Anolis sagrei: one gene and its partners. The protein of the gene in region 1 interacts with the protein of each later gene in a pairwise test. Links are inferred from orthologs where the notes say so. Each region holds a gene or a part of one and is shown in the gene's direction. Other genes may lie near its edges. The genes, in order: TBX6; CXH1orf94; heat shock transcription factor, Y-linked-like; TOX4.

Region 1 (7,042 bases):
GTTTCTACTGCAATCATGCATGAAGAGAAACCTTTCCTATCCTAAGAGATGCATACGGCTTTGCCTTAGGCCAAGATTGATTTTTGTTGCATCCCAAATGCACAAAAAACAAGAGCAACAGGAGAGTTATTTTGAAGTGGATGGAGGACAGAGAGAGAATCATGGAAGAAACCCAAACAGAGATTGCTCCCGTCCTCCACCCCAAGAAGAAAGAGAAAACTATCCCGGCATCCAGTTGCTTCACAGCTATACATATCTGCCTTTAATGTAAATAAGTAGGGGAAATAATGAAAATGGGACCCCTTTCACTGATATTGGAATTTACAGGCATTATGGGAAAATGTGTTGACAACATAGGCAAAGGTTTTCCCTGGACATTAAATCCAGTCGTGTCCAACTCTGGGGGTTGGTGCTCATCTCCATTTCTAAGCCGAAGAGCTGGCATTGTCCATAGACACCTCCAAGGTCATGTGGCCGGCATGACTGCATGGAGCACCGTTACCTTCCCACCAGAGTTCCAGTCCTTATTGATCTACTCAAATTTGCATGTTTTCGAACTGCTAAGTTGACAGAAGCTGGGGCTGACAGCGGGAGCTCATGCTGCTCCCCAGATTTGAACCTGCGACCTTTCAATCAACAAGTTCAGCAGCTCAGTGCTTTAACCCACTGTGCCACCGGCAACATGCTCTAAATATATTTACTCTGCATTTTTAACATAGATCTAAGTAATATAAGACCTCTTCCACACTTCATCTTCATTTAAATTCAGTGTGGAAAACATCTCACCATGTTAAAACAGTGGATGTGGCTCTTAATGAGACATTCTGCATCATCACAGGATGTCTACGGCCCATAACACTGGAGAAATTACACTGTTTAGCTGGTATTGCACCACCTGACATCCACCGGGAAGTAGTCGCCAGCAATGAAAGGACCAAGGCATTGACATCTCTGGCCCATCCTCTGTTTGGATATCAGCCAGCACGTCAATGCCTTACATCAAGAAACAGCACCCTAAGATCTACAGAGACTCTTGCAGAAACACCTCAGCAAGTGAGAGTCCAAAAATGGCAGGTTGAAACCCAGCACCTCAATCAGTGGCTGAGACCAGGTGAGAAACTCCCTCGAAGCACACAGAAGACTGGGTGACCTAAAAGGCACTGAGCAGGCTGCGCTCTGTCAACCTTAAGAAATTGGGCTACAAAGTGGAGTCCACGACATGCGAGTGTGCAGAAGAGCAAACCACAGATCACCTACTATAATGCAACCTAAGCCCTGCTGCATGCACAATGGGGGTCATTCTCACAGCGACACCAGAGGAACTCCAAGTGGTCAGCTTCTAACCAAAAAACATTTAGGATAATGCCAAGTGCTTTATAATTTTGTTTGTGTTTTCAAATGCATTTTACCTGTACCTTCAACTCACTTCTGACACGATAAGTAAATTGAAATTAAGTGGAAGGAGATAAATGTATCCACCTTCCTGCATACCTTTAACCCCACCGCAAGAATACCAAAGATAAGAAGTGAAGATTATGGGTTGGAAGCTCATCCTTGAACCTAAGAATCCAAATTTCTCCTTTTACTGGGCATTCCTCTAAAGCAACACAAGGGGGCGTGCACATACCTTACAATAATGATAAATGGATGAACAGTTAATTGAGACTATATCTACACGCCACATGATGCAGTTTGACTGCATTATGGTCAGTGTAGACCATGTCATGTAGTTCAACACAATTAAATAATATTAAATTTTGGTCTTGTTTTAGCTCCCAATTATATATCTAATTTTCCTTCTATACTGCTCATCAAGTTGTGACAACATATACAGGTTTTTCTTTGATTGCCTGACGAATGTGTACACCTCTATGTACACAGGCATGTAGCCAGGGGGGGGGCTCGGGGGGCTTCAGCCCCCCCCGAAATTCTCACGGTGGTTCGCGAAAAGGCCTTACTGGTGCATTATTTAAACTGTTATGTTTATTAATATCATGATTTGATCACCATTCTCAATATATCCCATATGTATGGGGGTATTGGGGTAATGATACAAAAGGTTTGCTAGGCTAGACCCTCTTTCACTCAGACTCAGCCCCCCCCGAAACTCAGCCCCCCCCCCCGAAACCCCCCCTGAAAATTTTTTAGCCCCCCCCGAAATGAAATCCTAGCTACGGGCCTGTATGTACATACAAGCTATTTCCACCAGTTGCCCACTCCCTAATTACTAACAACTGGTATTCCTTTGGTGATAAGAGATAGAAACAGAATCATAGCGTTGGAAGAGACCTTGTGGGCCATCCAGTCCAACCCCCCTACCAAGAAGCAAGAAAATTGCATTCAAAGCACCACTGACAGATGGCCATCCAGCCTCTGTTTAAAAGCCTCCAAAGAAGGAGTCTCCACCACACTCTGGGGCAGAGAGTTTCACTGCTGAACAGCTCTCACTGTTAGGATGTTCTTCCTAATGTTCAGGTGGTATCTTCTTTTCTGTAGTTTGAAGCCATTGTTCCACATCCTAGTCTCCAGGGCAACAGAAAACAAGCTTGCTCCCTCCTCCCTATGACTTCCCCTCACATATTTATATATAGTCCTCATCATGTCTCATCTCAGCCTTCTCTTCTGCAGGCTAAACATGCCCAGCTCTTTAAGCCGCTCCTCATGGGGCTTGTTCTCCAGACCCTTGATCATGCTGGTTGAAAGCACTGGACATATAATATTCATGCACAAGTGAAAATGACATGGTCTTAGTCCAAAATTCCTCACTTTTTGTTTGCAGAAACCACATTTCTAGCCCTTAGTATCACTGAGATAACATTAAAAGCACATGAAGTATCAAAATGTAGATTTCTACCAATTTTTCTTTGTTATTTTGATTATGAAGCCACTACTTTACACAATTTGATTCCTCGCATAGAGATATTCAATGTAAGGCATGCTGAATTTGACTACGGTTGCACTTCCCATAGCTGGCATCATAGTACTTTCTTGCTATTCTGCTGAAAATAATTATCCAAGAATATGATAATATAACCTCCTGATAGGACTAAATTAGACCAATTGGAATTTTAAATTGTTGTATTATGAGGTTAAAGGGAACCAGGTATCTTCCCAACTGCAAATGTGGCTATAACTCACTAGGCCCCAATCTCCACTCTCAGGATTTGGCAGTCTCTTGCAGCTGTCCTACCCAGCTGTGAAAACATCTGGATGATAAATGACCATGGCACCTCCCCCCATCACCCACTTGTAAAACCAAGGATCCCATAGGTCAGGATCAATCAGGAAACTTTGGAATCAGGGTGTTAATTAGGCAATTAGGAGGATTCAAGTGGTGGGCACAGAAAGAGACTCGGCCGACACTCTTAATGAAGTCTGAGATGGAGTTGGGGAGCCTGGCATAGGGAGGGGGTGGGCTAGGACTGGCATATTTGGATTGGGCTGATATGCAATGTCTTGGATACTGAAGACAACTACTTATGTGAGGGCACTCAGACTAGGGGTGAAATAGGCGGAAGTTGGATGAAATAGAGGGATATTGCTAGAAATAGCTAGAAGGTGAGTAAGGATAGGACATCCTGGGACTGAGAATATATGCTACTCATCTCCTCCAACTCCCCTGCCTTCAGCCCCAAACCCCTCCCCTCTAGAGGTGCGAATGTGCCATTTGGGGTCTCACTTCAAAGAGCTTTAGCGGAATCATAAATACAGCCCCAGTCAGGGGCTCCTCAGGAAGAGAGGGGAGCTCGAGGTGGATGCATCCCAGACTTGCTCACAAGATAGGACCAAGGAAACCCAGCTCCCAGATCTTAACCCAGCAGGCTTTCTTTCCCTATCCCTATTCCAAAAATCATATTCCATTATTCCCCAGGAGCCCATCAGTCTCATTCTTCTAATCCTTAGACCTTTCTCCTTGCCACAGAAGGCAGAAGTCCTAGCTTCCTGTTTTAGCTTGCTTCCCTCACCTGTTCTAATCCAGTAGGGTCCCCAGTCCCTCCAAAAAATCCAAGAGTTCTGGCTCCCAGATTTCCTTCAGCATCCCATGTATCACCCCTCAGAGATGTTCTCACAGTATGGAGGCTCTTACCCTCTGCGGCCTCCCCCACCTCCTGGGACTGGGTATCCTCAGAGTCAGGCACCCCAGTATGAAGCCTTCAGATACCCAGGTGAGAAATTGGGAAGTGGTGGTGGTGGGAGAGCGGGAGGGAAATGAAGAACAGGAACAAGGGAGACAGAGTGAATGGAATGAAGGCAGAAATGTGTATTTTAATGGATATTTTCACCATTGATTGGCCTCAATGACATCTACATAACTATTACGTTGTCTGGTTTAACTTATTTGTGAAAGCAAATGGAGTGTCAGGAAGACAATGTCTGATTTCCTGAGTTCTTTGCAAGAAGGATAAGATAAATGTGTTGTCCAAGGCTTTCATAGCTGAAATCACTGGGTTGTTGTGAGTTTTCCGGGCTGTATGGCCATGTAACAGAAGCATTATCTCCTGACGTTTTACCCACATGCTGGAAACCTCACTTACTTTGTTTCCAACAGACCCCTCAACCTCTGAGGATGCCTGCCACAGATGTGTGTGAAACGTCAGGAGAGAATGCTTCTGGAACATGGCCATACAGCCTGGAAAACTCACAGCAACCCAGGATCAGATAAAAATTGTTACATAATAAAATGGACAAAAGGATGAAATCTAAGATTCCTATGCTATTGGAAATGAGAAAATTGAGAACTGTAACTTCTGGAATTTCTTAGAATCCAGAATGGGCTTTTTTATATTGAGGCATTAAGAAGTGGAAATAATCATCACTTTCTTACAGGATGGAATATAATCCAAAACTTCTAAGGTATTTGTACGTGAAAGGGGAAAGGAATGTTGTCTACTACATAAAAGTAATGGTGTGGACTACAAACTCCAACTCTACAGGCATGAGCAAACGTCAGCCCTCCAGGCATTTGAGACTTCAATTCCAACAATTTGTCAGGAGGGCAGCAGGGTTAAAAAGGAGGGCAGATTTGTCAAGAGAGCATATTGCTACATCCCAATATCTGGATTATTAGAAGTTTTTCTAAACATATATTCCTCATTGCTGCAGTCTACCTTTGTAGCCCTAAGGACTGGAGTTCTGTCCTTTTAATACAGGCATGGGCAAACTTCAGACCTCCAGGTGTTTGAGACTTCAACTCCCACAATTATGTAGAATTTGTTTTGGCCGAAATCCAACCAGGACAGATTCACTTTATGAAATGCCGATTTGCCCATTAACAATGGATGCATTGCGTGTACGTCGGCCAAGGTTAACCAATGGATTTAGGGATTTACTTTCATCAGTCATCAGAAAAGGCAAGGAATCTATGCTGTCTGCTACATCTCAATATCTGGATTAGTAGAAATCTTCTAAACATATATCCCCCATTACTGTGGCCTATCTTTGTAGCCCTAAGGACTGGAGTTCTGTACTTTTACTACTTCATCACACTAGAGAATGAAACCACTTTAAATTTGGTTTCTGCCTCTTGCAGAATTCTGTGGTTTGTAGTTTAGTGAGGAGCCTTTAACAGCCTGACGAAACTACAAACCCCAGAATTCTGCAAGAGGCAGAAACCAGATTTAAAGTGGATTCCTTCTCTAGTGTGATGAGGTCTGTACAGTCATAGGAAAACTTCAGACTTCCAGGTGTTTTAGACTTCAACTCCCACAATTTGTCAGGAGGGTAGTGGGGTTAAAAAAGAGTCCTGGAAGTCAAGACTGCAGGATTGTCAGAGAGGGTTGGATAGGATGGGCTGGTTGATAGCCAGGGGTGATTTAAATTGAGGAGTGGGTGGGGGGTATGAAATGCACATTTGAAAAGGCTAGAGAAAATCCAAATAGAGAGTTGACCAAAAGGATAGATGAGAATACAGTAGTATCCTTGGGAGAGAAACAACCACTGGTTTCCACAAGCTAGTGGGAGGCCAGGACTTGGATAGCAAAAGGGTAAAATGTAGAATTCACATAAATTCCATTGCTTGCTTCGCTAAGGACCACCACCCACATGCCCCCATCAGCTGGAGTTTTAGCACCCAAGGCCAACTGGTCAGGCGAATAGGATAGAGGAAGAGAAAACAGGAGAAAAACAGCAGGAGGGTGACAAATTCCTAGATGATACTCCGTGGTGCTGTCTGTAACCCTCCTCCTTCCTCTGTTCCTTACTACTCAGCCAATACCTCTCAATGCCATTCACTGTTTGTCTGACTTATTGTGTTCTCTTCCTTGCCTTCAGATCTTGATGCTGCCCCGAAGTTGGATAGCTTCTTCCCTGCCTTGGAACCTCCAGGCCGCCTCTTGCCTCCAGGTCCTGCCCACCCTTATGGGTCAGGCCAGGCTCTCCCATCTGGTCCCCCACCAACACCATGTTTACCCCCTGGAATACGGATGAGCTTGGAGAATGGTGAGCTTTGGAAACGTTTCAGTAGCATTGGCACAGAGATGATCATCACCAAAGCAGGCAGGTGAGATGCCAAGCAGCAATAAGAATGAAAATTACTGATCTTAACCTGTCCTCTGGAACCCCTCCTCAATGCCATGTATCAGAAGTATTTGAAGCCAAAGCTTCTGAATTTATGAAGAATGTATTTTCACCCCTCCAATTCATTTGAGGAAAATGAGGCACAACTCTGAGCAAAAATTTAAGAATAGAAACATTAAAAAGACCTGAAACATATCCCTAGAACAGCAGTTCTCAGCCTGTGCGTGTCCCCAGATGTTTTACGCTTCAACTCCCAGATATCATAACAGCTGGTAATCTGGCTGGGATTTCTGGAAGTTGTAAGCCAAAACACCTAGAAACCCACAGGTTGAGAACCACTGACCTAGAAGATAGGGAAATTTAACTTACACCTTTTTTAAAGCTTTATTTCCAACATTTTAGTAAATATCTGCAGTGAAACAGGCAAAGAGAACATAACAATATAATATTTCCTTCCTCCACAAGCTGTTGTGGGGACAAAATAATCTACACATCTTTAATATTCAACAACTCAACATATGCCATT
Region 2 (7,780 bases), on another chromosome or scaffold:
CCATAGTCTGTTCTTCCCCAAACCTCACCAGAATATTGAGTTGGCCATGGGGGCTCTCTGTGCCAAGTTTGGTCTTTATTGGTATTTGGATGAGTGTCGCTGTGGTTTCAGGAAGTGAGTGAAAGTACTGCAAGTCCCATCATCCATAGTCCGTTCTCCCCCAGACCTCACCAGAATATTGAGTTGGTCATGGAGGCTCTCTGTGCCAAGTTTGGTCTTTATTGGTATTTGGATGAGTGTCGCTGTGGTTTCAGGAAGTGAGTGAAGGTACTGCAAGTCCCATCATCCATAGTCTGTTCTCCCCCAAACCTCACCAGAATATTGAGTTGGTCATGGGGGCTCTCTGTGCCAAGTTTGGTCTTTATTGGTATTTGGATGAGTGTCACTGTGGTTTCAGGAAGTGACTGAAGGTACTGCAAGTCCCATCATCCATCGTCTGTCCTCCTTCAAACAGCAAATGGGCAACATATATGAAATGGGTTGAAGAAGGCAAAGCCAGCACAGATATTGTGCAAAGATTTCAAAAGTTGCCTTCATCTAAGCCATTAAAAGAGATGTTTCCTCAATGGTTAAGGTAAGGCAGAAGTGATGGGCTTTATAGAGGAAGGTGAATGGGAGCTGCACATGAATCAAGCATCACTGTGTGACTGGAGACCCAGCAAGCAACTAAATGTTAACATCAGAAATTGTATGTTTGAACTCATTTCAAGCTGTGCCTTCTCTTCATGCTGGCTTGTGACCCCTGGAGCTAATTCAATCCTCAGGCAAAAAAAAAAAGACACCAAAGAAAGCGATACAAACAAACAAACAAACAAGCACCTCCCCTCTTTGCCGTTTCATCCACAAAAGCTGCTGCCTTGAGAGGGTTATTCGATCTTGGGGTTTACTCTCGTATTTTCGTATTTCTGCTGCCGCAGATTAACTAAACATCGTGATCCCCTCAGGAGGTTTTGTATTATTTAAGCACTCACACAACCTATTTAACCTGAGGCAACAGTAGAATGAAAGAAAACCAAGGGGCAAAAAGAGACAACTTTTTTTCTCCTCCCTCTCTATTTGCAGACTGTTTTCCAGTTATGCTCTGCTTTTAAAAATTGCCACACAGAGAAAGATACGCAAAGAAACCTCTTGTTACATCTGCAAATAAAAAAAAGGAAAAAGAGAAGGTTTCCAATAAAATGGGATCTCTGAGCTGGAGGGGGTCACAAGGACCATGTTATTCAGTGGTTCTCAACCTTCCTAATGCCGTGACCCCTTAATACAGTTCCTCATGTTGTGGTGATGCCCAACCATAACATTATTTTCGTTGCGACCAGGGACGGCTCAGCCATTACGCAAAGTAAGCATTCGCAGTATAGTTGATTTTGCCCGGGGGCGCTCTTGAGGCGCTCTTGGGAGAAAATAGACCTTGACATAAGGAAGTTTTACTTACTGGGATGTATAAAAAGGTAAAGATAAAGGTAGTCCCCTGACATTAAGTCCAGTCATGTCTGACTCTGGGGTGTGGTGCTCATCTCCATTTCTAAGCCAAAGAGCCAGCGTTGTCCGTAGACACCTCCAAGGTCATGTGGCAGGCATGACTGCATGGAGCGCCGTTACCTTCCCGCCAGAGCGGTATCTATTGATCTACTCACATTTGCATGTTTTCGATAGTTCACCTAAAACCAAAGAGCATTCTAAACTCCACCAATGATGGAATTGAACCAAATATGGCACACAGAACTCCCATGACGAACAGAAAATATATATCAATGATTGGCTGGGGGGAGAGCACCAAAATACTGTTTGCTTACTGTTGAAAATTACCTAGGGCCGCCTCTGGTTGCGACTTCATAACTATAATTTTGCTACTGTTATGAATCGCACTGTAAATATCTGATATGAGATGTTCATTCACTGGACCAAATTTGGAATAAATATCCAATACACCCAAATCTGAATACTGGTAGGATTGGAGTGGATTGATTTTGTCATTTGGGAGTTGTAATTGCTGGGATTTATAGTTCACCTACAATCAAAGAGCATTTGAACTCCACCAACAATGGAATTGAACTAACCTTGGCTCTCTGAACTCCCATGACCAGCAGAAAATACTGGAAGGGTTTGGCGGACAGTGACCTTGAGTTTGGGAGATGTAGTTCACCTATATCCAGAATGCACCATGGATTTGAAAATGATAGATCTGGACCAAATTTGGCATGGATACTCAATATGCCCAGATGTTAACACTGGTTGAGTTTGGGGAAAATAGATCTCAACATTTGGGAGTTGTAGTTGCTGGGATTTATAGTTCACCTACACTCAAAGAGCATTCTGAACTACATCCAGAGAGCACTGTGGACTCAAACAATGTTGGATCTGGACCAAAATTTGCACAGATACTCAATATGCCCAAATTGAACACTGGTGGATTTTGTGTAACTAGACTTTGACATTTGGGACTTGTAGTATTATTTATTTATTTATTCATTTACTTTGCTTATATACCGCTGTTCTCAGCCCGGGGGCGACTCACAGCGGTGTACAACATAGAAGAACAAAGTTCAAATTCAAGACATAATATAAAATCCACATCCAGCATTAAACAAGAACATCATCATCAAAAACATCATCATTACTACGAAAGCCATTCCGCGTCGTCTCATCGTCCAAACCACAATCCAGTATCATTTCCATTGTTCCAATCCTATAGTCATTACCAATCATTGCACTTCTTGTTCGAATGCCTTTTTGAACAACCAAGTCTTTAATTTCCTGCGGAATATCATCAGGGAAGGAGCCAGTCTGATGTCCACGGGAAGGGTGTTCCACAGTCGAGGAGCCACCACCGAGAAGGCCCTATCTCTCGTCCCCGCCAGCCGTGCCTGTGAAGCAGGCGGGATCGAGAGCAGGGCCTCCCCGGAAGATCTCAAAGTCCTGGTGGGCTCGTAGGTCAAGATGCGGTCGGATAGGTATCCTGGGCCGGAACCATTTAGGGCTTTATAGGCCAACGCCAGCACCTTGAATTGAGCCCGGTAGCAAATCGGCAGCCAGTGGAGCTGGTACAACAAGGGGGTTGTATGCTCCCTGCGTCCTGCTCCTGTTAGTATCATGGCTGCCGCACGTTGGACCAATTGAAGCTTCCGGGCCGTCTTCAATGGCAATCCCACGTAGAGAGCGTTGCAGTAGTCTAAACGGGATGTAACCAGAGCATGGACTACCGTGGCCAAGTCAGATTTCCCAAGGTACGGGCGCAGCTGGCCTAGTAGCTCAGATTTATAGTTCACCTTCAATCCAAGAACATTCTGAACCCCACCAATGATAGAACTGGGCCAAATTTCCCACACAGAATCTCCATGACTAACAGAAAATACTTTGTTTTCTGATGATCTTTAGTGACCCCTCTCACCCCCCACCCCCACGATCCCCCTCCCTGGTTCCCAAACCCCCAGGTTGAGAAACGTTGATGTAGTTCAACCCTTTGTGAGGTAGAAATGGACAACTATAGCATTCCTCAAAGATGCCCATTCCACCTCTGTATTAAGACCTCCAAAGATGGAGAGTCTACCACTGTCAAGAATGCTGAACAACAAAGACCTTGTCCTCCTTTTCTCAAGCTGATACATCTGGAACACATCACATTGCCATCAGAAACATTCTTTTCCTTTTTGCTAACTCTTGTGTGTATAAACATACAGAGTTGTGAGGCCAGAAACACCCCGTGTCCTAGGATCTCCACTATCAGACAGCTCTTCCAATCAAGACATTCTCAATGTTTCTCAACTTCCTTTCTTTTATTTTCAATGTATTGGTTCATGTTCTAGGCACCAAAGAGGCAGAAAAACAAGCTCACTCCATCTTCTACATGACATCCCATTGGATACTTAAAGATTGCTTTCCTATCATCTCTCCATTTTCTCTTGTCCAAGTGAAGCACACCCAACTCCCTATGTTGGAGGCACCACCCAACTTTCTCTTCTTCTAACCAGACCAGAGACGGTCCTTTGGTTTCAGGTTTTGATCATAGATTTTGGAGCATAGGATATTCTTGACTTAAAAACTCTGTATTTTTATATACACAAGAGCCAAGAAAGAAAGAAAGAAAGAAAGAAAGAAAGAAAGAAAGAAAGAAAGAAATGCTTCTGATGGCAACACCTTTCCATGTATAGGAGCCCTAGGTGGTACAGTGGGTTAAACCCCTGTGCTGGCAGGACTGAAGACCAACAGGCCGCAGGTTCGAATCCGGGGAGAGTGCGGATGAGCTCCCTCTGTCAACTCCAGCTCCTCATGTGGGGACATGAGAGAAGCCTCCCACAAGGATGGTAAAAAACATTAAAAAAATTCCAGGCATCACCTAGGCAACGTCCTTGCAGACAGCCAATTCTTTCACACCAGAAGTGACTTGCAGTTTCTCAAGTCGCTCCTGACATGACAAAAAAAATATCTTTCCAGGTGATGTGTTCCAGATATGCCAGTTGGAGGAAGGAGAGCAAGATCTTTCTCCCTCAGTGTCCTTCAGAGCAAGCAAAGTCTCCCCTTCCGTCTACTGCTGTTGAAGTTTGATGATCTATTACAGTTTTTATTCTTTATGTCAGTTAAGTTACCATGTCGCAAGGGTTCTATGGTTACTTAGCTACCAGAGTTTGTTTCCATATGCTCCATTCTGTACCATCTTTTTTTAAAAAAAGAAAGAAAATAAGGCAAGCAACATAAGTATCTCAGGAAGGTGTGTGGACACCCTTCCTGTTTGTTTATTCAATTTTCATTCTAGCCATTAGTGGGCAAGATACGATGCTGTCAAGTAGGAGCAGCCTTCAGTGTTCAACAACCAACCCCAAGGGCAGTTTTCCATTAGGCCCTTTCCCAAGACACATTTGGATCCATCACAATACGCCTCAGGACAGTTTGGATAAAGCTTGCCATGAGATCTGGAAAAGAGTCCAAGGTCTCCCGGAGGAACTCCAACCCAGGTCCTCATCACCACTTCTCCAAGTGAGCTGCCACCCCATTCCATCTTCTGAGGCCCTCCAAGAGGATAACAGTAGTACCAGCAGCAGCTCCCAAAAGGAGTGAGTGCAATGCTTTTAATCTTGTTTGTTTTTGAGTATTTTGAACATGCAAAAAGTATACCTGAATGGTTGGCAATGGAGAAGATGGATCCATAAGAAAGCAGAGGCTGTAGTTTCGTTACTTTAACCTTTATTTATTTATTTATTTATTTATTATTTAAACTTATATGTCGCCACTCCCCTGGGGCTCGGAGCGGCTTACAAGAATAGCTAAAATCTAACAAAGTTTAAAAGCAATTTAAAACAATTTAAAAACAACAGTATCAAACATTAAAAGCCTGTCGGAACAGGTATGTCTTACATGCCCTGCGGAAAGCTGGTAAGTCCCGCAGGGCACGAACTTCGGGTGGCAGAGCATTCCAGAGTGATGGTGCCACTGCTGTGAAGGCTCTGCGTCTGGTTGCCCTTAAACGCAAGGTCTTGACACTGGGGACTTCCAATAGATCTTGGTCCTCAGAACGGAGGGATCTCTGGGGTTGGTAGGGGGTGAGACGATCCTTCAGATACATTGGCCCCAGACCATGCAAGGCCTTAAAGGTGAGTACCATCACTTTGAAAGTGATCCAGTGCTCAATTGGTAACCAATGCAGCTGTAGTAAGATTGGTGTTATGTGGCATCTCATCGGAATTCCCGCAAGAAGCCGAGCAGCTGCGTTTTGTACCAACTTGAGCTTCCGAATCACCGACAGAGGGAGGCCAATGTAGAGGGCATTACAGTAGTCCAGTCTTGAGATGACTGTGGCCTGGATCACCGTAGCTAGGTCGTCCCTGGACAGGTAGGGGGCCAGCCGCCTAGCCTGCCACAGGTGAAAGAAGGCAGTTCTGCTCACGGCGGATACCTGGGCCTCCATTGTCAGCAGAGGGTCCAAAAGGACTCCCAGACTCTTTACCAATGATGACGGGCGTAACGCCTCGCCATCCAGGGTGGGCAGATGGATGTCCCCCCTGCCTGGTCCACCCAGCCATAGGATCTCCGTCTTTGCTGGATTCACCCTCAACCTGCTGGCACGCAGCCATCCAGTAACGGCCTCGAGGCACTGATGGAAATAATCAGGTACAGAGTTCGGTCGGCCTTCCATCTTCAGCACCAGCTGAGTGTCATCGGCATACTGATAACACTCAAGCCCAAAACCTCGAACCAGCTGAGCAAGTGGTCGCATATAGATGTTAAACAACAGAGGGGAGAGAATGCCCCCCTGAGGAACCCCACAAGATAGAGGGGACCTCTCAGAGACCAGGCCTCCCCTCTCCACTCGCTGTCCATGGTTGTGAAGAAAGGAGGACAGCCAGTTTAAAGCTGTCCCCCTGATTCCAGCAACAGCAAGGCGGTGGGTCAAGAGATTGTGGTCGACTGTGTCAAATGCTGCTGTGAGATCCAATAGCACAAGCAGCGCTGACCCGCCCTGGTCAAGCTGGCATCGAAGGTGATCCGTGATGGAGACCAGCATAGTCTCTGTCCCATGCCCCACACGGAAGCCGGATTGGAAGGGATCTAGTCCGGCTGTGTCGCCTAGGAATTGCTGCAACTGCTCCGCTGCTGCCCTCTCAATCACCTTGCCCAGGAATGAGAGATTTGAAACTGGGCGGTAACTGGAGGGAACTGAGGGATCTAAATCTGGTTTCTTCAGCAAAGGAGAGACCACTGCCTCTTTTTAGTGGTCCGGACTCCACATATTGGGAGATAGGTCAATCAATCAATCAATTAATCAAAAATATTTTCACCCTAAAGATAACTCATTCCTCTGGCTCCATCCCACTTAATTACTGTTGGAGAATGGTTGCCTTCAAGTCACTTCTGATCAAAAAAGATCATCTTCATCCATCTAGATTCCATGACAATATTAACTTGAAGGCTAGAATACTAAATACATCTATTTATTGATATATTGATACAAGATGTGTGCTGTTTTGCATTCTAGTTGAAAATGTAAGCCCTGAAAATGTAAATAATGGGTTTGAGTAGCATCAAGTATAGCACACAAATCTGTGTGTATTGTAGGATGTGTGTATGTGTGTCATGAATAACTTTTCAATAACTTTAAAGCTTTTTATTGTAATTTCCAGTATGAGAGAGGATATATCAGAACTTTTACAGAACTTTTATACTTTTACACAAAGAATGACATTGGACATACAGATTCTACGCAACTACATTGAATTCACAAACAACCTACAGTTATATTGGCTAACAAGCAAAGAAGAATTAAATTTTTACTCAACATTCACACCACATGTACATGCATCCATCCTCATGAATCCAAATATTATCACATCCTTTTCTCCCTCCTTGGAGAAGCAGCTGCTTAGGCCAGGACCTGCTTCCCTGCAGCCTGTCAACGCACAGTTCCAAAACCTTCATAATGTCAAAATTCTTGTTCAACAGCTACACAAATGACCATCCACTGCCAGAAGGGACAGAGTTTCATCTATGCTGATGATCGTGCCATCACCGCTCAAGCAACATTCACACCTAGTATTGTCGAAGGCTTTCATGGCCGGAATCACTGGGTTGTTGTAGGTTTTTCTGGACTATATGGCCATGTTCTGGAGGCAATCTTTCTCCTGACGTTTCGCCTGCATCTATGGCAAGCATCCTCAGAGGTAGTGAGGTCTGTTGGAAGTAGGAAAAATGGGTTTATATATCCGTGGAATGACCAGGGTGAGACAAAGGACTTTTGTCTGCTGGGGCTAGGTGTGAATGTTTCAGCTGATCACCTTGATTAGCATTCAAT
Region 3 (7,648 bases), on another chromosome or scaffold:
TCTCTTTACTTCTTTACTTCCCCCCTCTTTCTCTACATCTTCCCCCTTCCTTCGCTCCCTCTTTCCTTCCTTCTTTCCCTTTTTTCTTTCCTTCTCTCCTTCCTTCTCTATCTCTTTCCTTCCTTCCTCCTTCTTCTTTCCCTCCCTCTTTCTCTTCTTTCTTCCTTCTCTACCTCTTTCCTTCCTTCTCTCTGCTTCCATGCTTCCTCCTCCCTTTCCTTCTTTCTTTCCCTCCCTCTTTCCCTACATCTTCCCCCTTCCTTCGCTCCCTCTTTCCTTCCTTCTTTCCCTTTTTTCTTTCCTTCCCTCTTTCTCTCCTTTCTTCCTTCTCCCTTTCCTTCATTCGTTCCTTCCCTCCCTCTTTCTTTTCTTTCTTTCTTTGTTTTTTCCTCCCCTTCCCTCCCTCTTTCTTCCCTTTTTTTGTATTGTCATTTAGCTTTTCGTCATTTAGCTTTTTGGGGCTTTTTAAGTCCCTTCTGCTGTTTTTTTTCAGTGTTTTTATGAGTGAAGGACATACATTGGGTTGTTAGGTGTCTTGTGTCCAAATTTGGTGTCAATTCGTCCAGTGGTTTTTGAGTTCTGTTAATCCCACAAATGAACATTACAGTTTTATTTATATAGATTACTAGCCATCCCCTGCCACGTGTTGCTGTGGCCCACTCTGGTGGTCATGGGGGTTCTGTGTGGGAGGTTTGGCCCAATTCTATCGTCTGGCGGGTTCAGAATGACCTGTGATTGTAGGTGAACTATAAATCCCAACTACAACTACAACTCCCAAATGTCAAGGTCTATTTCCCCCAAACTCCATCTGTGTTTATATTTGGGCATATTGAGTATTCGTGCCAAGTTTGGTCCAGATCCATCATTGTTTGAGTCCACAGTGCTCTCTAGATGTAGGTGAACTACAACTCCAAAACTCAAGGTCAATGCCTACCAAACCCTTCTAGTGTTTTCTGTTGGTCATGGGAGTTCTGTGTGCCAAATTTGGTTCAATTCCATCGTTGGTAGAGTCCAGAATGCTCTTTGATTATAGGTGAACTATAAATCCCAGCAACTACAACTCCCAAATGTCAAGGTTTATTTCCCCCAAACTCCATCTGTGTTTATTTTTGGGCATATTGAGTATTAGTGCTAAGTTTGGTCCAGATCCATCATTGTTTGAGTCCACAGTGCTCACTGGAGATAGGTGATACAATGCCCAAACTCAAGGTCAATGCCCTCCGAACCTTTCCAGTATTTTCTGTTGGTCATGGGAGTCCTGTGTCCCAAGTTTGGTTCCATTCCATTGTTGGTGGAGTCCAGAATGCTCTTTGATTATAGGTGAACTATAAATCCCAGCAACTACAACTCCCAAATGACAAAATCCTAATTTTTTGAGTGATGGTCACTCCTTGTGTTGTGAGACGTTTTGTTGCCAAATTTGGTGGGATTTTGTTTATTGGTTCTTTTGTTTTTAGGGAACTCATTATGCACAGAACATTTATATATATATAGATTAGCATAGCACAAGAGACAAGATGGTGGTGATGGGGGGGGGGGTCCCCAACTGGTGACACATGCAGGAGACAATTGGACGTGTTTTTTCCCTATGTGGGGTTGCAAGGCATTGTGGGGTTGGCCACTTTTTTCTGTGGATTGACACTCTCAATGACCTCCCCCTTTTTCTTGTTTTGGAAACGCGGCGCAGGGTGGTTTGGAATCCGCAAGGACTTCTGCCAATTCCTCCTGGAAATCTTCCCCTTCCTCCGAGAGTACGGCAACATTTCCTACGACCTGCACCACGAAGACAACGACGAGGCGGAAGAGACGCCCATCCCCGAACCTCCCAAAATCGCTCCGATGTTTCGGAAAAAGACGGGGGTGGTTATTACGCAGAGTCCTGGGAAGTACGTCATCCCGCCTCCCAAGCTCAACATCGACATGCCCGACTAAGTGTCCCCTCGGAGGCGCCTGCGTGGACTCTTCCCGTTGTGGAAACGACCGGGAACCAGCGGCCAGCGCGTTTTTATCTCATGCCTTTCTTTTGTTATGAATCGTGGTGTGTGCCTCAGTGGCTTGTAACGTGGAGATCACGGAGATTTGTCTTCAGGTCATTTCTGTTACCATGGCAGGAAAATCAATGAGAAGGCGACATGTAAGCTCAGGCTCAGGCGTGTCAAGGTCCTGATCAGAATTGGTGGAACTTTTGTCCCATGTCACCGTTTCCTTTCTTCTCATCTGTGTCCACAGTTCCATGTGGGCAAGACCGGCTGAAACCAGTGGCCTTCATGCACATGTCACTCTGGACTGGATTTCGGCGGACGAGGAGGGCTCCTCTTTGGGAACCTTGGATTCACGCTTGCCTGTATAGTATTTATATGAACCTTTGGCAATGTAATATATTTTTAAGAGTCTGTACAGTATAAATATGCAAAAGTATTTTTAAAAGGCTGCGTGAAGTGCATCATCGATTGTGAATGACGTGCTTTGTGTTCATCTGTTTCTGTTGGCGTCGCACAGCCATGTGATGTCCCACCCGCATGCTTGCCTTGTCCTCCTCGCACGGAACTAGGAGCGCCGTCTTCGAAACATGTCCGCAGGTAGGACTTGGAAGTTCCTCCCCTCTTAAGGGATCCAATTGCCTGGATAAAGGTATGTAAATTATTGTGTAAACGGCCACATTCTTTGTATTGTCGAGAGGGGAAGGAGGAGGAGGGGATGGTTTCCCACTTTTGTTAAAGTGCAAAACCCTGGGTAATAATACCTGTTTCTCATCCCCCCACTTTTGGCTGTTGAATAAAAAGTATCCTCCTGGAATCCTTGATGAGCCGACCCTTCTTTGTTCCCGAGTACGTCTTGCAATGCTTTCGTTTATTGGGAATATACTTACAATTCATGATGGAGTTTCGCTGGTTGGAATATCTATCTGTTTGGCAGGAAAATGGGAAATGCATTCCCTGTCATCCTTGGGTTCCAAATGACAGTGTTCAAATTCAGTCAAAACACTGTGCCATGCTTGGATCTACAATATATTGGCACAGCACTTACTGAAGTGAAGAAGGAAAACAGGTTGTGCCACAACTCTGGGAGCCCATGAAAAGGTCTCTTCAAAGGCTTTGAAGTTGGGTGTCCATGTTATTTCTCACACTAGCTGGACCTGCCACAGGTTGCTGTGGCCAACCTTCCCTCCCGCTTTCTTTTCTTTCTCTCCTTCCTTCCCTCCTCCTTTCTTTCTTTCTTTCTTTCTTTCCTTCCTTCCTTCCTTCCTTCCTTCCTTCCTTCCTTCCTTCCTTCCTTCCTTCCTTCCTTCCTCTCTCTTTCCTTCCTTTTCTTTTTTTCCCCTTCCTTCCTTCCCTCCTCCTTTCCTTCCTTTTTGTTTTTTCTCCTTCCTTCCCTCCTTCTTTCTTTCCCTTTCTTTGCACTCTACATGGGGCTGCCCTTGAAAACGGACTGGAAATTTCAACTGGTCCAGTGGGAGGTGGCCAGGTTGTTAACTGGTGCTCCTTACAGGGAGCGGTCAACCCTCCTGTTTAAGGAGCTCCATTGGCTGCCATTCATTTTCCGGACCCAATTCAAGGTGCAGGTGCTCACCTACAAATCCCTGAACGGTTTGGGACCCGCCTACCTACGCGACTGCATCTCTGTGTACGAACCCACACGTATCTCTTCGTTCATCTGGAGAGGCTCTACTTACGATCCCACCTCCATCGCAAGCGTGATTGGTGGGGATGAGGGATAGGGCCTTTTCGGTGGTGGCCCCTCGACTCTGGAACTCACTTCCTAAGGACATCAGGCATGCCCCAAGTCGAAAGGAGGAACTTGAAGATGTGGATGTTCCAGTGTGCCTTCCCGGAATAATGATCCCATAGCACTTTGTCCCTCCAAAGCACTTTACATTTTTAGATCTGCTCGTATGTCTTCCACAAACGCCACTATCACCTTTTCGCCCATGTTCCAGCATTATTTCCAATTTTAATTTTACACTTGGCCTTCCCAGTTTTAATTGTATGTTGTCTTATTGGTAATGTTGTATGTTTATTGCCTATGTTTTTATTTTATTTTTAATTGCTTGTACTGTTGTTATTGCTTGTATTGTTGTATTCGGGTACGGCCTCATGTAAGCCACACCAAGTCCCTTGGGGAGAAGGTAGCGGGGTACAAATAAAGATTATTATTATTATTATTATTATTGGCCTAATGTAAGCCGCACCGAGTCCCTTGGGGAGATGGTAAAATAAAGTGTTGTTGTTGTTGTTGTTGTTATTATTATTATTATTATTATTATTGGCCTCATGTAAGCCGCACCGAGTCCCTTGGGGAGATGGTAGTGGGGTACAAATGAAGATTATTATTATTATTATTATTATTATTATTATTATTATTATTATTGGCCTCATGTAAGCTGCACCGAGTCCCTTGGGGAGATGGTAGCGGGGTACAAATAAAGTGTTGTTGTTGTTGTTGTTGTTATTATTATTATTATTGGCCTCATGTAAGCCGCACCGAGTCCCTTGGGGAGATGGTAGCGGGGTACAAATAAAGTGTTATTATTATTACTATTATTAAGACTCATTTCGTAACCAATAACATGAGCAGGATTGGTCACTTCCTCATGCCTCGAGTTCGATTTCAAATGCAATGGGTCTGGACCATTGTTTGAAGAAGCCAATGCTTGACCCTCAGAGCCTCCTTGGTTGAGTGAGGGTGCGCCGAGTGATGTTCCCAGTGATGTTCCCCTCATTATGGCTTCATTTGCTAGGAAACCAGAGTTCGTTTTGTGATGTCACACCGACACAGGATGGGTCTGATTGTGACGTTCTGGAACTCTTGATTGTAGCTCCAGCTCCTGGCAGGCTGTCCTCCTTTTTAGTAGGCCTGATGCTGCCTTCTTGGCAAGGCTGGACTCAGAGCGCCCATGGCTGCAGCTGAGAAGAGCTACCTGAGCGACAAGGGCGACCAGGACCTGGACCTTCCTCCTGGCCAAGCCGAAGAGGACAGGATCCACTCCGCCATCTCCCTTTCCTCGACTCCGCTGCACGACAAGACGGCGGCTGGCGACTCGGCCTTGAGGTCCATGATCGAGGAGAATGCCTTCCAAGCGCTGAGCGACGCTCCCTGGCCAAAGAGACCCCGGCTCTCCCTCTGCGACGACGGCTCTCTCGAGGACAGCGACTTCCTCTCCCTCACCTTCCCCAAAAAGCTCTGGAAGATTGTGGAGAGCGAGCACTTCAAGTCCCTGTGGTGGGACGAGGACGGGACGTGCGTCGTGATCGACGAGGAGCTCTTCAAGAAAGAGGTCCTGGAGAGGAAGGGTCCCCTGCGCATTTTCGAAACGGATTGCATGAAGAGCTTCATCCGACAGCTCAACCTCTACGGCTTCAGCAAGATGAGGCAGAACTTCCAGAGATCGGCCTCCCTTGTGGAATTCTTGGCCGAAGAAAAGGCGGCCTACGCCTTCAGCAAGGTAAGGTCTGGCCGTGGCTTTGGGGACGGACCCCGGGCGCCTCGGGTTCCCCAAGGGCACGTCCACGCGCTCTCTCAAAATATAGATCTCCATCTCCTTCGAGGGCAGAAGAGGACACTCAAAGAGGTTCCGCTCCGAGTAGAAGACAACCCGAATCAATCCAACAAGTTCTGATCCTTCATGCCTACAGCCCCATCCATCCTGTTCCACCAAAACGAGGCCGGCATTTGCAAACAATGTCGAAGGCTTTCATGGCTGGAATCACTGGGTTGTTGTAGGTTGTATATGGCCATGTTCTAGAGGCATTTTCTCCTGACGTTTCGCCTGCATCTATGGCAAGCATCCTCAGAGGTAGTGAGGTCTGTTGGAACGAGGAAAAAGGATTTATATATCTGTGGAATGGTGACCAGGGTGGGACAAAGGACTCTTGTCTGCTGGAGCTAGGGGTGAATGTTTCAACTGACCACCTCGATTAGCATTTGAAGGTCTGGCGGTGCCTGGGGCAATCTTTTCTTGAGAGGTGATTAGATGTCCTTGTTTGTTTCCTCTCTGTAGTTTTGCTATTCTAATTTTAGAGTTTTTTTTAATACTGGGAGCCAGATTTTGTTGAAATTGTCCACATGCTTGTGGATTTCAATGGCTTCTCTGTGTAGTCTGACATGGTGGTTGTTGGTGTGCTCCAGCATTTCTGTGTTCTCCAATAATCTGCTGTGTCCAGGTTGGTTCCTCAGGTGCTCTGCTATGGCTGACTTCTCTGGTTGACGTAGTCTGCAGTGCTTTTCATGTTCCTTGATGTGTATGTTGGGCAATGCTGCTGCGTTTGGTGGTCCCTCTGGAGACTTCTTGTCCACAGCTGCATGGTACATGGTAGACTCCTGCAGAGGTGAGAGGATCCCTCTTGTCCTTTGCTGAACGGAGCATTGGTTGGATGTTCTTGGTGGGTCTGGAGATGGTTTGTAGGTTGTGTTTCCTCATCAGCTTCCCTCTGCGGTCAGTGGTTCCCTTGATGTCTGGCAGGAACACTTTCCCTCTGGGTGGGTCTCTGTCTTGACTCTCGTGGCTTCTTCTCGGTGGCCTTGCAGCTCTTCTGATGTCTGAGGTGGAGTCTCGCTTGGCCTGGAGAGCCCATCTGAGGTGGTTCAGTTCATCTTGGAGGAGGTGGGCTTCACAGATTCTTCTTGGCAGAATCTGCCAAGGCTTTAATGGGGCTTCTTTGTTGACTTGGGTGATGGTTGGAGTTTTTGTGTAGATCTCTATCTGTGTGTGTGGGTTTTCTGTAAACGGTGTGACCCAATTGTTGATCTGGTTTGCGGATGACTAGGACATCTAGAAAAGGCCGTCTTCCTCCATTTTCTTTTTCCATGGTGAACTGGATGTTTGGGTGGATGCTGTTGAGATGGTCCAGGAACCTGTTGAGTTCTTCTTCTCCATGACTCCAAATGGTGAAGGTGTCATCCACATCTCTGAACCATATGTTTGGGTGGATGCTGTTCAGATGGTCCAGGAACCTGTTGAGTTCTTCTTCTCCATGACTCCAAATGGTGAAGGTGTCATCCACATCTCTGAACCATATGTTTGGGTGGATGCTGTTCAGATGGTCCAGGAACCTGTTGAGTTCTTCTTCTCCATGACTCCAAATGGTGAAGGTGTCATCCACATCTCTGAACCATATGTTTGGGTGGATGCTGTTCAGATGGTCCAGGAACCTGTTGAGTTCTTCTTCTCCATGGCTCCAAATGGTGAAGGTGTCATCCACATCTCTGAACCATATGTTTGGGTGGATGCTGTTCAGATGGTCCAGGAACCTGTTGAGTTCTTCTCCTCCATGCCTCCAAATGGTGAAGGTGTCATCCACATCTCTGAACCATATGTTTGGGTGGATGCTGTTCAGATGGTCCAGGAACCTGTTGAGTTCTTCTTCTCCATGGCTCCAAATGGTGAAGGTGTCATCCACATCTCTGAACCATATGTTTGGGTGGATGCTGTTCAGATGGTCCAGGAACCTGTTGAGTTCTTCTTCTCCATGGCTCCAAATGGTGAAGGTGTCATCCACATCTCTGAACCATATGTTTGGGTGGATGCTGTTCAGATGGTCCAGGAACCTGTTGAGTTCTTCTTCTCCATGACTCCAAATGGTGAAGGTGTCATCCACATCTCTGAACCATATGTTTGGGTGGATGCTGTTCAGATGGTCCAGGAACCTGT
Region 4 (7,920 bases), about 6.5 Mb from region 1:
CTCCCAGAAGCTCTGGCCAGCTTATCCAATGATCAGGAATTGAGGGAGTTGAGGTCCAAAACACATGGAGGGCCACAGGTTTGACACCAGTGGTTTAAAGCAAGAGTGGACTTCTGCCACCAGCTTTCAACAGGGGCTGGATGGCCATCTGTCAGGGATACTTTGATTGTTTTTCCTGCATGGAAGGGGGGTTGGACTAGATGGCCCATGTGGTCTTCTCCAACTCTATTATTCTATGATGTTGTTGAACTATGATTATCAGCATTTTTAGCCAATGTAGAAAATAGCAAGGAGTGTTAGAACTGTCCCAATATCTCAATATTGTGAGTGGATTTTTTTAAAGGGCAGAATGAAGCCACATCTTTATATGGATTTTCACATTAACATGTAAATGCTCAAATCAGGAGCAAATTTGATTGAGTCCACCACTTAGACCCACACAAACCGTAATATAGGCAGAAAGATTATAACCTGAAGAACCAAAGTGTCCAAAAGTTTGGAAGCTAAGCATGTTTAACTTGGGAGGAAAGAAGGCCAAGAGGAAACACGACAGCCATGTTTAAACATCTGAAAGTAGGTCACCTTGAAAAGAGGTGACATCTCCCCTCTCCTCAGGGCAGGTTTGTTTTCTGCTGGTCTATAAACTAGGACACAATGGAGCAATGGCTTCAAATTACAGGAAAAGAGATCCCACCTAAACCTTAGGAAGAACTTCCTGGCAGGAAGAGCTGTTTGGCAGTGGAATATCCTGCTGCCTGAGAGTGTGGTGGAGTCACCTTCTCTGGAGGTAGATGGCCATTTGTCAAGAGGGCTTTGATGGTGTTTCCCACCTGGCAGAATAGGTGTAGACTGGGTGACCCTTGGGGTCTCTTTACATTCTGATTCTGTTAACTGCTCATATATTACATTTTGGGTTTGATTAATTGTGAACAGTGCGATTTCTTTTTGTGCTTTTGAACAGATGTTTGAATGTTTCTTATGAGTGAAAAGGTGCTTTGAACAGAAAACTTCAACCTCTTTCTTATTATTTCCTCTCTGATATATGGAAGTAAAAAGTTTACTGCAGGCCTGCACAACCAAGAGGAGATTCCATCTGAACATGAGGAAGAACTTCCTGACTGTGAGAGCCGTTCAGCAGTGGAACTCTCTGCCTTGGAGTGTGGTGGAGGCTCCTTCTTTGGAAGTTTTTAAACAGAGGCTGGATGGCCATCTGTCAGGGGTGATTTGAATGCAATATTCCTGCTTCTTGGCAGAATGGGGTTGGACTGGATGGCCCATGAGGTCTCTTCCAACTCTTTGATTCTATGATTCTAGGGCTCTTCAGGCATTTGGGACTCCACCTCTTAGAAGCCCAGAGTGTCCAATGATCAGGAATTCTGGGAGGTGAAGTGCACATTTATACATATCCTGGTCTACATACTGGAATCATACAGTCCTGTTGGTTGTCGAAAGTCAATTCATATTTAAATGCTTTTTAGCTGCTAGTTTAATTATGTGAAGATGGGTTTCTGTGTTTTCTGGGCTGTACTATGGCCATGTTCCAGAAGCATTCTCTCCTGATGTTTCACCCACATCTATGGAAGGCATCCTCAGAGGTTCTGAGGTCTGCTGGAAACTCAACAACCTCTGAGGATGCCTGCCATAGATGTGAGCGAAATGTCAGGAAAGAATGCTTCTGGAATATGGCCATAGAGCCAGGAAAACTCACAGCAACCCAGTGATTCCAGCCATGAAAGCCTTCGACATATGTGGTAAATGTTTATGAGGTATCATATTTAGTTTATTTAAGTCATTTAATTTTGATAATGTTTGTTCGTTTGGATTAGCTATTATAAGTTTTATATTGCGATTCTTTTGTTTATCTGTTTGTGTGTTGTTGAAAAAGATCTTGGAGTCCTCATGGACAGCAAGTTAAACATGAGCCAACAACGTCATGCGGCGGCAAAAAAAGCCAATGAGATTTTGGCCTGCATCAATAGGAGCATAGTGACTAGATCCAGGGAAGTCATGCTACCCCTCTATTCTGCCTTGGTTAGACCACATCTCAAATACTGTGTCTAATTCTGGGCACCACAATTGAAGAGAGATATTGACAAGCTGGAATGTGTCCAGAGAAGGGCGACTAAAATGATCAAGGGTCTGGAGAACAAGCCCTATGAGGAGTGGCTTAAAGAGCTAGGCATGTTTTAGCCTGAAGAAGAGAAGACTGAGAGGAGATAGCCATGTATAAATATGTGAGGGGAAGTCATAGGGAGGAGGGAGAAAGCTTTTTTTCTGCTGCCCTGAAGACTAGGACGTGGAGCAATGGCTTCAAACTACAGGAAACTAACTGTGAGAGCTGTTCAGCAGTGGAAATCTCTACCCCAAAGTGTGGTGGAAGCTCCATCTTTGGAGGATTTTAAACAGAGGCTGGATGGGTTGGGAGTGCTTTGAACGTGACTGTCCTGCTTTTTGGCAAGGGGCTGGACTGGATGTCCCAGGAGGTCTCTTCCAACTCTGTGATTCTGATTCTCTGTTGGCACTGAACGTTTGCCTCTTTTATTAGAAACCACCCTGAGTCCCCCAGGAGAGATAAGGCGGGTGATAAATCAAGTATTATTTCTACTGAAGTCCAAAACAGCCGAAAGGCCACAGGCTATGCAGGCCTGGTTTACTGTAACTAAATATCAGAAAATAAAAAAGTTGAAGCAGTGTGTGTGTGTGTGTGGGGGGGGGGGGGGGAGATATGAACTTTGTGATGAAGCATTTAAAAAAAAAACTTGCGAAGGCCAAATCCTTCTAAAACAGGCATGGGTCAACTTGGGCCCTGTGATATTATGATAGCTGGGTCTGGAAGCTCTGAGCTCCTGCAAAGGCAGCTGTGAATAAGGGAAGAGAGGGGGCAGAGTGAGAGCGGGGAGAGCAAAGGAAGGATGGAAAGGAGGGGACGTTTAGTGTAAGGGTTAGGGAAAGATTTAGGGTTTGGGTTACGGTTAGGGTAAGGTTTAGGGTTAGGGTAAGGGTTTGAGTAAGGGGTTAGGCTTAGGCTTATGGTATGGTTAGGGTTTCACCATTAAAGAACTGGTGATAGTATGATAGCTGGGTCTGGAAGCTCCAAGCGTTATGGAGATGCTGCAAAGAGGGCTGTGAATAAGGGAAGAGAGGAGGCGGAGTGAGAGCGGGGAATGCAAAGTAAGGATAGAAAGGAGGGGATGCTTAGTGTAAGGGTTAGGGCAAGATTTAGGGTTATGATTAGGGTACGGTTTAGGGTTTGGGTTAGGTTTAGGCTATGGTAAGGCTTTGGGTAAGGGATTAGGCTTAGGCTTACCATACGGTTCAGGGTTAGGGTTTCACCATTAAAGAACAGGTGATGGTATGATAGCTGGGTCCGGAAGCTCCGAGCGTTACGGAGATGCAGCAAAGGCGATTGTGAATAAGGGAAGGGGGGGGGGGGGTGGAGAGAGAATGCTGCAATGCTGGTTTGGGATTATGATTAGGGTACGGTTTTGTGTTTGGTTTCATGTTAGGGTAAGGTTTAGGCTAAGGAAAGGGTTTGGATAAGGGATTAGGTTTACTGTATGGTTCTGGGTTAGGGTTTCACCATTAAAGAACTGGTGGTAGTATGATAGCTGGGTCCGGAAGCACCGAGCGTTACGGAGATGTCGCAAAGGTGGTTGTGAATAAAGGAAGGGGGGTGGGGAGAGCGAAGGAAGGATAGAAAGAAGGGGACGCTTAGGGTAATGGTTTGGGTTAGTTAGGGTATGGTTTAGGGATTGGGTTTTCGTAAGGTCAGGCTTAGGGTAAGGGGTTAGGCTTAGGGTACAGGTTAGGGTAAAGTTTAGGGTTTGGGTAAGGGGTTAGGCTTAGGGTACAGGTTAGGGTAAAGTTTAGGGTTTAGGTAAGGGGTTAGGCTTAGGGTACAGGTTAGGGTAAAGTTTAGAGTTAGGCTTAGGGTACAGGTTAGGGTAAGGTGTTAGGCTCAGGATACAGGTTAAGGTTTGGGTAACAGGTTAGGCTTACTGTATGGTTCAGAGTAAGGGTTTCACCATTAAAGAACTCTTACATCCCTTCTATATTTGTCTCCGGCATGGCTTACATTAGGTAAGTCTCTCTTGTGCAAACAGCACTCCCGATACGTAATGCTCGGAGCTTCCGGACCCAGCTATCATACTATTACCTTGGGCCCTTGGGGTGTTTTGGACTTCAACTCCCACCATTCCTAACAGCCTCGGGCCCTTTCCTTTCCCCCCTCAGCCGCTTAAGCAGGCCCTCCGCCCCTCCCATACCCGAGTCCCCGATGACGATGTATTTGAACAGGTAGGCGTAGGCCATGGCTGCCGGGAGCCCCTGAGAACGAGGCGGGAGGGGGCCTCCACGGGCCGCTTTCGCTCACGCCACGGGAACTCTGCCTACTCCTCTCGCGCTTCCTATTTCAAAGCCGTGGCTCTGACCCGCCCTCTTCCTTCCCGGCGCTTGGCTTCTTCCCTTTCCGGTGCCTTCTCCTTCATGACGGCAGCCCCTGGTGGACTTCCGGCGGCACTCTAGGGCATCTCTTCTGGGCCGCCTCTATTCCTCCTTGTGTTGACTCCGCCCACTCCTTTGGTCTTCTTCGGACTGGCTGCTCTATTGCGTCACATCCGGGGGGAGAGGGGAAAGGGAACGCCGAGCTCCAGCCTCGAAGCCGTTACTTAGACTCTTTGACGTCACATCCGGGAAATGCCGAAAGCGCTCTCCTGCCTGAGAATGGCAGCGCGCGCGGCCCTCCGGCCTCCCTTTCTCCCTCAGTCGCCTTAACGGTCCGAACGAGTGAGGAAGGCAGAGCGAGGCCGCGACTCCCGCAGGGAAACACGGCCTCCCTCCTCTCACCGCAGGGAAGGAAGAGTTAAGGCCGCCACAGGAAAGGGCCGTGTGCAAAACGTCGGGCGGAAGTGACGTTCCCTGCCGGCCTTCGTTTGGGTGGGCGGAAGAGGCGGAAGAGGCTTCCGTTTCCGGGAGAGGCACTGGAGGGGGAGGAGGAGGGGGAGAGAGAGTCGAGCGGGGTCTCCCCGCTCTCCCTGCTCTGGAGCTTCCTTCGCCGCGGCCATGGAGGTGAGGGGGCCTCGGGGAAGGGGAGAGGGCCTCCCAGGGGCCGTTTGAGTGTCTGTCTCGTTACTGCCTCCACCTATGCACTCCTATGGACTCCTCTTCCTTGAAACCAGCATGGGTGGAAGCCCCACGCATTCATCCATTCATTCAGACAGGGCGAATCCAGTGAGGACGAATACAGGTTGACTATCCCTTGTCTGAAATGTATTTGGAATTTACTTCTAGTCCCTAACATTTCAGACAAGGGATAGTCAACCTTTATTCCTCCCCACTGGATTCGCCCTGTCTGAATGAATGCATGGGACCAGAAGTATTTGGAATTTCATAGATCGATAAATCGTAAATATGCATACATACATATCTTACGGACTTGGGAATTCATAAGGCTTTCCCCCGACATGTAAGGGATCAGGATTCCTCAGTTCATCTTGATTACTTTTCATCTTTAGGTTATTGTGGGTTTTTCCGGGCTATATGGCCATGTTCTAGAGGCATTTTCTCCTGATGTTTCGCCTGCGTCTATGGCAAGCATCCTCAGAGATAGTGAGGTCTGTTGGAATTAGGAAAATGGGTTAATATATCTGTGGAATGACTGGGGTGGGGCAAAGAGCTCTTCTCTGCTGGAATCAAGGAACATGGAAGGCACTGCAGACTATTTCAACCAGAGAAATCAGCCATAGCAGAGCACCTGATGAACCAGCCTGGACACAGCATATTATTTGAGAACACAGAAATGCTGGACCACTCCAACAACCACCATGTCAGACTACACAGAGAAGCCATTGAAATCTACAAGGATGTATTTGGAATTTACTTCTGGTCCCTAACATTTCAGACAAGGGATGTTGTTGTTCATTCGTTCAGTCGTCTCCGACTCTTCGTGACCTCCTGGACCAGCCCACGCCAGAGCTCCCTGTCGGCTGTCACCACCCCCAGCTCCTTCAAGGTCAGTCCAGTCACTTCAAGGATGCCATCCATCCATCTTGCCCTTGGTTGGCCCCTCTTCCTTTTGCCTTCCACTTTCCCCAGCATAATTGTCTTCTCTAGGCTTTGCTGTCTCCTCATGATGTGGCCAAAGTACTTCAACTTTGTCTCTAGTATCCTTTCCTCCAATGAGCAGTCGGGCTTTATTTCCTGGAGGATGGACTGGTTGGATCTTCTCGCAGTCCAAGGCACTCTCAGAACTTTCCTCCAGCACCACAGCTCTAAAGCATCTATCTTCCTTCGCTCAGCCTTCCCTAAGGTCCAGCTCTCACATCCGTAGGTTTCTACAGGGAATACCATGGCTTTGACTAGGCGGATCTTTGTTGCCAGTGTGATGTCTCTACTCTTTACTATTTTATCGAGACTGGACATTGCTCTCCTCCCAAGAAGTAAGCGTCTTCTGATTTCCTGGCCACAGTCTGCATCTGCAGTAATATTTGCACCTAGAAATACAAAGTCTGTCACGGCCTCCACATTTTCTCCCTCTATTTTCCAGTTGTCAATCATTCTTGCTGCCATAATCTTGGTTTTTTTGATGTTTAGCTGCAACCCAGCTTTTGCACTTTCTTCTTTCACCTTGATTAGAAGGCTCCTCAGCTCCTCCTCGCTTTTGGCCATCAGAGTGGTGTCATCTGCATATCTGAGGTTGTTAATGTTTCTTCCAGCAATTTTCACCCCAGCTTTGCATTCATCAAGCCCCGCACATCCTCGCATGATGTGTTCTGCATACAAGTTCAATAGGTTGGGTGAGAGTATGCAGCCTTGCCGTACGCCTTTCCCAATCTTGAACCAGTCTGTTGTTCCGTGGTCAGTTCTTACTGTTGCTACTTGGTCCTTGTACAGATTCCTCAGGAGAGAGACAAGGTGGCTTGGGATGCCCATCCCACCAAGAGCTTGCCACAATTTATTATGATCCACACAGTCAAAGGCCTTGACAAGGGATAGTCAACCTTTATTCCTCCCCACTGGATTCGCCCTGTCTGAATGAATGCATGGGACCAGAAGTATTTGGAATTTCATAGATCGATAAATCGTAAATATGCATACATACATATCTTATGGACTTGGGAATTCATAAGGTAAAGGTTTTCCCCTGCCATGTAGGGATCCGAGTTCCTCACTTCATCTTGATTACTTCTCATCTTCCTTGGAAACAGGTTCATATGGTAAAGGTAAAGGTTTCCCTTGACATTTAAGTCTAGTCGTGTCCGACTCTTGGTTGTTGGTGCTCATCTCCAATTTTTAGCCGAACAGCTGGTGTTGTCCGTAGACACCTCCAAGGTCATGTGGCCAGCATGACTGCATGGATCGCCGTTACTTCACTTCTTTGCTTCACTTCATTTTATTTCTTAATTAGTCGCTCTCCACCAAGGTGCTCCAAGCGACTTACAATTTAAAATAGCATTTCACAATATAAAACATTCAACATAAAAACCTTTAGCAGTGACTATTTGGCAAATTTGATCTGATTACTTAAATGCACAACCAAACAGCCAAGTCTTGGGTGCTTTTACAAAAGGTCCCAACTCCGACATTGCTCTAACATATGGAGGCAATGAGTTCCACAACATTGGAGAATAGATTGAAAAAGCTCTACCTTTCCGCAAGAGCGGTACTAATTGATCTACTCATATTTGCATGGTTTTGATCTGCTGGGTTGGCAGAAGCTGGGCCTAACAGCGGGAACTCTTGCCACTCCCCAGATTTAAACCTGCAACCTTTTGGTAAGCAAGTTCAGCAGCTCAGCGGTTTAACCCACTGTGCCACCTGGGGAATTTATATCTATACATAATAAGGTACTTTGGAGAACCAGAACACAGAACACAAAATCCAATGGGGCTCAGTACAGATAGAGCATGCACAGGCAAATTT

Evidence for each region.
Region 2: the proteins of TBX6 (region 1) and CXH1orf94 interact in binary tests that used the Homo sapiens proteins (3 or more experiments, as listed by UniProt). The link is inferred for Anolis sagrei from reciprocal best matches to the Homo sapiens genes TBX6 and C1orf94.
Region 3: the proteins of TBX6 (region 1) and heat shock transcription factor, Y-linked-like interact in binary tests that used the Homo sapiens proteins (3 or more experiments, as listed by UniProt). The link is inferred for Anolis sagrei from reciprocal best matches to the Homo sapiens genes TBX6 and HSFY1.
Region 4: the proteins of TBX6 (region 1) and TOX4 interact in binary tests that used the Homo sapiens proteins (3 or more experiments, as listed by UniProt). The link is inferred for Anolis sagrei from reciprocal best matches to the Homo sapiens genes TBX6 and TOX4.

What each region holds. Positions count from the first base shown.
Region 1 is NC_090026.1:17,496,552-17,503,593, reverse strand, and holds the start of TBX6 (T-box transcription factor TBX6), read left to right. Parts: upstream 1-4,042; coding exon 4,043-4,166; intron 4,167-6,270; coding exon 6,271-6,499; intron 6,500-7,042. UniProt on the Homo sapiens protein: T-box transcription factor that plays an essential role in the determination of the fate of axial stem cells: neural vs mesodermal. Acts in part by down-regulating, a specific enhancer (N1) of SOX2, to inhibit neural development.
Region 2 is NC_090034.1:68,093,640-68,101,419, forward strand, and holds the start of CXH1orf94 (uncharacterized protein C1orf94 homolog), read left to right. Parts: upstream 1-4,770; coding exon 4,771-5,048; intron 5,049-7,780.
Region 3 is NC_090030.1:36,551,582-36,559,229, reverse strand, and holds the start of heat shock transcription factor, Y-linked-like, read left to right. Parts: upstream 1-4,646; 5' UTR 4,647-4,894; coding exon 4,895-5,443; intron 5,444-7,648. Other genes in the region: TMEM185A (transmembrane protein 185A), read left to right, coding at 1,688-1,932.
Region 4 is NC_090026.1:10,955,385-10,963,304, reverse strand, and holds the start of TOX4 (TOX high mobility group box family member 4), read left to right. Parts: upstream 1-4,916; 5' UTR 4,917-5,061; coding exon 5,062-5,067; intron 5,068-7,920. Other genes in the region: RAB2B (ras-related protein Rab-2B), read right to left, coding at 4,266-4,311. UniProt on the Homo sapiens protein: Transcription factor that modulates cell fate reprogramming from the somatic state to the pluripotent and neuronal fate. In liver, controls the expression of hormone-regulated gluconeogenic genes such as G6PC1 and PCK1.